2 linked regions of the Ovis aries genome follow. The protein of the gene in region 1 interacts with the protein of each later gene in a biochemical or structural test. Links are inferred from orthologs where the notes say so. Each region holds a gene or a part of one and is shown in the gene's direction. Other genes may lie near its edges.

Region 1 (3,518 bases):
AAAAATAGTCTTTTTCTCTTTTTTTATTGAAGGTAACATAACATTAGCCATTTGAAAGTGAGTAATTCAGTGGCAGTTAGTACACATACAGTGTTGTGTAACCATTATATCTCTCTTGTTCGGAGTTCTTATTCCAAGTGTTCATCACCACACGAGGAAATCCAGTACTCACTAAGCAGTTGTCCCACATTCCCTACCTCCTTCCAGCCCCTGACAGCCTCCAAACTGCCTTCTGTCTCTGGATTTACCTATTCTGGATATTTATTAGTGAAAAATCGCTTTAAAAAATAGAATGTTCTTCGCTTTGAATTTCTCTTATTGTTCCTCCTGATTAGATTTAGATTGTATGTTTCCATCCAAAGTGCATTACTTAAGTGATGTTTTTCTTATGCTGTAACATGCAAAAGCACCTTATGTCTTTAGTCCTTCATTTTGAGGGTCACTTTTCATTAACTTGTCAGCTTCTCCATTATAGAAATAAATTTCCCCTTATAGATGTGTTTCCCCTTGGAGGTATTAAGTAGTCTGTGAGGAGACAGTTAAGACCATGTGAGTATCCTATTTGTGTGTGTCCCCGCCCCCAATTTTGAATCTATTAATTCTTACTAAGCTATTCTTTTGTGTTGGTTGCAAAATGACAATTTTCCAACTTCATCATTTTCTCCATATTTATCAGTCAACGTGCATATTTTCATGGACTTACGAGTTCTATGGGTTAATGATGCATGTTTTTGATTTTCAAATTACCTCCCTTTTGGCTGATAGAAATCCCATCAGCCTGCCTCTCATGGCTTTGTGTCATGATCTCATTGCTCTTGAGCACATCTTGTTTCCTTGCCCAGCAAGTTATACCATGCTCATTTTATACCCTCCCCTGCCGTGGATCATTCATTTTTGTGAAGAACTTTTATTTTGTTCAGTGGGGAGTGCTATTAGAAACCCAGATCTAGACTCTACGGTGTATTTCCTTCTAGGGTCTTTGAGTGATCAGAGCTGTATGCATCTGTGAACATACAAATTCATACACGTATGAACATATGTATGCATATACACATGGGAAAATGAACACTGAAAGAAAGCTGTGAAGGTGGACTAGCCTTACCAAATGTTAAAGCACATTACAAAACCTCTATAATTAAAAATTGCATCCTGGTGCATGAATACACAGGCCAGTAGAGTAAAATATAAAGTCCAAATATAGATCTACCATCAGGGTGCTTTTTAAAAGCCTTCAAAAATATAACAACTTTTTTCTGTTGTTTGAATTTTAATAAGAAAAATATTGTTGTGACTTTAAAGATTACATGTAGAAGTAATGGATTTTTTTTTTTTTTTTGGTATAAAACACTAAATAGGGTATAATGATAGGATATAACCTTTTAAAATTACAGTCAGTCTGTGGAAAGGTTTTATTGTTTACCTTGAAATTAATCTTTAATTTCTCATTTAGGTCTGCAATGAGAATTCCCTCTTCAAAAGTCTTTCTCGCTATCTGGTACGGCGGAAGGACCCAGAATTGTGGGGTAGTGTGCTGCTGGAAAGCAATCCTTATAGGAGACCCCTCATTGATCAGGTAAAATTTGCAAATGCATTCAAGGCTCATCTTTTTAACTATAAATAAAACCTTTTCCCTCATCATATACCAAATATACTCAAATGGATCATATTTAACTGTGAGAGATGGCAGTAAAAGACAGAAGAAAATAAAGATGATACTAATATATATATATATATATATATATATATATATATAAATGTTAACAAAAATGAAGTATATCTTCTCCAAGAAAATACGTCCCCAAGGAGAGAATTTAATTACATAAGACTCCCTCAACTCATCATAGCTAAAAGGATACCAGTAAATCAGACATTTAATAAAATTAGTAAGAATTACTGTTAAAAATACCTGAGAAGTAATTAAATTGATTGGAAACATTCAAGACAAGGGTAAATCAGCAAAGAATAAAGACTGGTGAATGATCTAGTAGATAAATGTTAAGTAAGTCTCAATAGTAAGCAAAGAAGATGCGAGTTTATAGCTATATAAATAATTGAAAACATTTTTTAAAACCTTAAAAATTGAAGGTTGTTAATAATGGTTCTTAAATTATAAATAGAAGTATGAATATGGAAGAGAGTAAATTGAAGAGTATCAGTTTTTCATTCCTCTCCTTGGAAGCATGTCTAAGGAAAATTCCCAAATTGATACAAAGCTTCCTAGAGCAAATACTCATTGCTGCATCTGGGAGCCATGCAAATAGCCATAAACAGAAGCATTACTGAGTGTATAATGCCACATGCATATGGTTGGACTTTATGTGACCATTAAAGTGATAATGAAGAGTGGTTATTAGGAATAATTTTTAATCAGGGAAAAGATAGAAATTATACGAGTAGGCACCCCTACCCCCCACAACAAAAAAATTGGAAATACATGTTACAGATATATGTGGATTTATGTAGAAAGATCTTTGGGTGGTAAATTAAAGGTATTTTATCTCATTCCTTCTTCTCGACCTGTTTCATTTTCTACTGAGAGGCCAGCTTATTCTTATTAGATAATATCATCAAAACCACCTGGACTCTCAGTACTTATTCTTTGTATATCCTCTGCAGGTTGTACAGACAGCCTTGTCTGAAACTCAGGACCCTGAGGAAGTGTCAGTAACTGTCAAGGCCTTTATGACTGCAGACCTTCCTAATGAACTCATTGAACTGCTGGAGAAAATTGTCCTTGATAACTCTGTATTCAGTGAACACAGGTATGCTATGAGAGGGTTTCCTGGCTCTTTATACTCAGTCTTTAATTATGGCCTGTCAGTTTGGGAAAGGAACAAAGAGACAGATATTAGAGAATGTTGTCTTAATTTTCACTCTTCTAATACCCTCTTGTGACCCTCTCTCCTGAGATGGAATACTTAATAGCTACAGTGTTTGTTATGACTAATGAGCTTTCCAAATATTACATTCAAATTTTTCTTTCTGAAAGGAACCTGCAAAACCTCCTCATCCTCACTGCAATCAAGGCTGACCGTACCCGTGTTATGGAGTACATTAACCGCCTGGATAATTATGATGCCCCAGATATTGCCAACATCGCCATCAGCAATGAGCTCTTTGAAGAAGCATTTGCCATTTTCCGGAAATTTGATGTCAATACCTCAGCAGTGCAGGTAAACCTTCACATTACCCGAGCTGATTTCCTGTGTAACGCCTTCTCTTGGTTCAGTGTATGCATTGTCCTCTGAGAAAGGGCATAATTTATTGCTGTGGTAATAGAAGAGCAATAAAATCCTAACCGTTTAAATGTAATTGCTACATGGTAAGATTCATTGTTCTATAACTGATGAAGAATTGGTTGCCTAGGTCTTGATCGAACATATTGGAAACTTGGATCGGGCATATGAGTTTGCTGAACGCTGCAATGAACCGGCAGTCTGGAGTCAGCTCGCAAAAGCCCAGTTGCAGAAAGGAATGGTGAAAGAAGCCATTGATTCTTACATCAAAGCAGATGATCC
Region 2 (3,518 bases), about 5.4 Mb from region 1:
TTCTCAATAACGTCCAGATTCTTTACATTGCCGCACAACTTTCTGCACAGTCTGGATGATGCCCCTCCAGACTTTATCCATTCAGTTCCCCAGGGTCTCCAGTTTGCCGATATAAAGAAGCCTCTACAAACCAGAAAACTTGTTTTCCTTCTCACAGCTCATACAGTTCATCACCTGTACATAAATTTTTTTATGATTTGCCTGTCTAGACTATCGCTTTATATGCATTTATCCTTTTCTTGACCATTTTTCAAAGGCTAGCTTAGGACCACCTTTTTGAACTGATGTACACCCGTGGCAGATTCATGTTGATGTATGGAAGAATTTTTTATTAAATAAAAAAAAACAAAAGTCTCAAACACCTGGCCCTAAATGGTCACGTCTGCCTGTAAAGGTCTGTAGCTGGAGTAACCGTGCAAGTTTTCACCCAGGCAAGGATGTTTTTGGAAGTGAAAGGAGATGATGTCATTAATAAAGCTGGGGCAATAGGAATTCACCAGGACTTTCCTGGAAACACTAGGACAAATGTCAGCTTGCCTAGAGCCAACAGGCTTTGTTTGCACCTCCCACTGGCCCTTGGCATTACCACCTCACATTGTTACCAGTTCTCTTATGATTGTGTCCTGGCTCCCCAACAAGACTGTCTGCTAAGCAGTTACATTATGCCTTAAATTTCCTCACATTCCCAGAACCGAACATTTTGCCATGTATTTTAGTGGATAACCAAATTTTGTTTATTAATTAGAGTGCTGGTGGAAATCATCACTTAGCAATTTTTCTCTTGTACTTTGGAGGTGGTTTTGCCCAAGAGATAAAATGTTTGATTTTTCCCTTCAGCTTATTGACATGTGCGTACAGAACTGTGGTCCGAGTTTCCAGTCTCTGATTGTGAAGAAGGAGTTTGTTAAAGATAGTCTAGTGAAGCTGCTGAATCCCAGATACACATTGCCAATAGACATTCAGAACAGAATCTTGAATTTCATTAAGGTAAGTCTGTTATATACCTTATGGGCTAGTGAATGTCTAAGATTAGAAGCTTAATTTCCTAACTCCCAGTTGGTTCAGTGATCCTTTATAAGCCTGGAACTGAGCTTCAAAGTGTTTTTATTCTGTTTTCCATGTAATAATTTCTTGGCATTGGACACTGGCCTTTTTCTGAAGAATTTATAGTCTTTTCCATATTTGTCTCTCAGTTTCTGTTTTATCTATGTCAGATAGAAGAGATAGTGATGTATACATTTATTTTACAGATGTGGAAACTATCTTCTCGGGTCGATAACTCACTGCCTGCAGTTATTTGGCAAAAGATCTACAGATGGTGTTTTAGAGTCTATTAATTGTATCTAGTCTAGAGTTTCACTAAATTGTTGAGGCCTGGCAGTCTGATAATTAAAAATATTTTACATTATTCTAATCTCTAAAAATGGACATTTTGGACTTTGCTGGTGGTCCAGCACCTTCACAGCCAAGGGCACGGCTTCAGTCCCTGCTTGGGGAGCTAGGATCCCACCTGCTGTTTGACACAGCCAAAAACAAGTAACTGCCACCACCATCCCCCCCCCCCCAAAAAAAAAAACCTGCAAAAAATGTACATTTTGTGTATGGCATTCAAAAGTATGGCATTCTGAGTAAGCTTCATAATTGTCAGTCTCTGATTTTTTGGTCATTGTGTTTTGTTTTGCTGCTCTTTTATCTCTGAAACTTTCCATCTCTTGAATTCAGACATGGTCGCAGGGTTTCCCAGGAGGTGTGGATGTCAGTGAAGTGAAAGACGTGTACCTGGACCTCCTTAAGAAAGGGGTTCAGTTTCCTTCATCAGGTGGAGAGACTGAAACAGCCAGACAAGAGGTAGGAGGCCCTTTTTGACCTGTGTAGAGAAAGACAGTGAAGGGCTTGGGTCTTTCTTCATTGAAAGGAACGACTCTAGCTCCACCCAGCTTAAGCTGAAAGATGAATCTGTGATTTCAGAGAATAACCAGGCCACAAGAAGGCTGGTGTTAGCTGGGTCTTTGTAACAACAGAGAACTGAGATTCAAATGCCTCGTTACTTGTCTGCTCCCCTTTGACAATCAGCTTATTCTGTCCTTGCAGACCAGTTTTCTTCACGTTGTAGACAACACGCGGGGCCTGCTATGCATGTGCCTGCTAAGTCACTTCAGTCTGACTCTGCGCAGGGCTCCCTGGGTGGTGCTAATGGTAGACAACATAGCTCCCACATTTTCATGTTGCAGCCTTAGCTTTTTCAGATTCAAAGCTCAAAATTGCAGAGAAAGGACTCATTGAACCAACATGGGTCAGTTTTCCATTTCTGCACAAGTTAAGTGAGGTTTTGGAAGAATGTGATGGCTTCATATAGAAATCGTTTAGGTAGAGCAGAGTAGGGGCAGTTTTCAAAAGAAAAGATTGGTGCTAGACCGGCAAGGGGCTCTGTTGGTAGTCATGTAATAAATTTGTTTATCAATACTGTGCCCATAGAAGAGTCTCTTCATGTTCACATGTATTCATTCTCAAGTCTGTAAATAACTTCCCAGGTTTTGAACTTACAACACTTTGAGAGACTGATTATAAGTCAACTCTTGGCTTCCTGTAATGTAATGTAGAAACATAATGTAAACACAGTAGTTCTTTCCATAATGTAAAATCAGTAGTTCTTCCCTTCTGTGATTGGTGAGTCCTGTCTTGGTAGAAAAAGCAATTCATGTGTATACCAAAGTCTGACCTTTGTGAAGGCTTTGTCCTGAGGGCTAACTCTCCCTAGTGAGTGAGTCATCTGAATGGAAAAATGGGCTTGCAGTGGCCAAGTTAATTCCAATAATAATATTTCCATGTTTCATAGACGTCACCGAATCCACCACCGTCTGTTCCTTCTGCACCAGCTCTTCCTTCCGTAGCCCCCAAGATCTCCACTATTGCATTGGTCCCAGAACAGGTAACAATAGCAATGATTGTATTTATTGATGACTTTTTCTAAGTTCTAAGCACTTTATATATAGTTCGTTTATTCTTAGCAATGTTATTGTAAGGTGGAGATATCTTTTAGCCTCATTTTACAGAGAAGGGGACTGAACTGTATGTCGATGATGGTTCAGCTCTAAGTGGAATTAATCCCATGAATTCTGCCTGATTCTGAAAGCCTGAGCTTGAACAGTTGGGCTTGTCTAGTGGCTTATGTGGCTTTGTGGAGGCTTGGCTGTATGTGGAGTTTATAAGCAGCTGATCCTGTTGCCCCTGATAAGACTGCCCATATGCCATTTCAGACAGCTCGGTGAATGGTAGTCTTAGAACTGATATTAATTGTGCCAATCGAATTGCATTCATGGCTTTGTCTTTTATCTGTTTATCAAAGGTTTAGACAAGCAGTTATTAAATGAAGCTCATTTCTATCCTGCTATAAAGGAACTATCATTTAAGACTTTGTAGGGACTTCCCTGGCAGTCCAGTGGTTAAGAATCCGCCTTCCAATGCAGGGGACACAGGTTCCACCCCTGCTTGGAGAACTGAGATCACAGCTGCCACAG

What was found.
Region 2: the proteins of CLTC (region 1) and TOM1L1 form a complex in vitro, tested with the Homo sapiens proteins (2 studies listed by BioGRID and IntAct). The link is inferred for Ovis aries from reciprocal best matches to the Homo sapiens genes CLTC and TOM1L1.

Annotation. Positions count from the first base shown.
Region 1 is NC_056064.1:10,335,677-10,339,194, forward strand, and holds part of CLTC (clathrin heavy chain 1), read left to right. Parts: intron 1-1,450; coding exon 1,451-1,573; intron 1,574-2,616; coding exon 2,617-2,762; intron 2,763-2,989; coding exon 2,990-3,173; intron 3,174-3,366; coding exon 3,367-3,518. UniProt on the Homo sapiens protein: Clathrin is the major protein of the polyhedral coat of coated pits and vesicles. Two different adapter protein complexes link the clathrin lattice either to the plasma membrane or to the trans-Golgi network.
Region 2 is NC_056064.1:4,891,389-4,894,906, forward strand, and holds part of TOM1L1 (TOM1-like protein 1), read left to right. Parts: intron 1-837; coding exon 838-987; intron 988-1,722; coding exon 1,723-1,848; intron 1,849-2,836; coding exon 2,837-2,929; intron 2,930-3,518. UniProt on the Homo sapiens protein: Probable adapter protein involved in signaling pathways. Interacts with the SH2 and SH3 domains of various signaling proteins when it is phosphorylated. May promote FYN activation, possibly by disrupting intramolecular SH3-dependent interactions.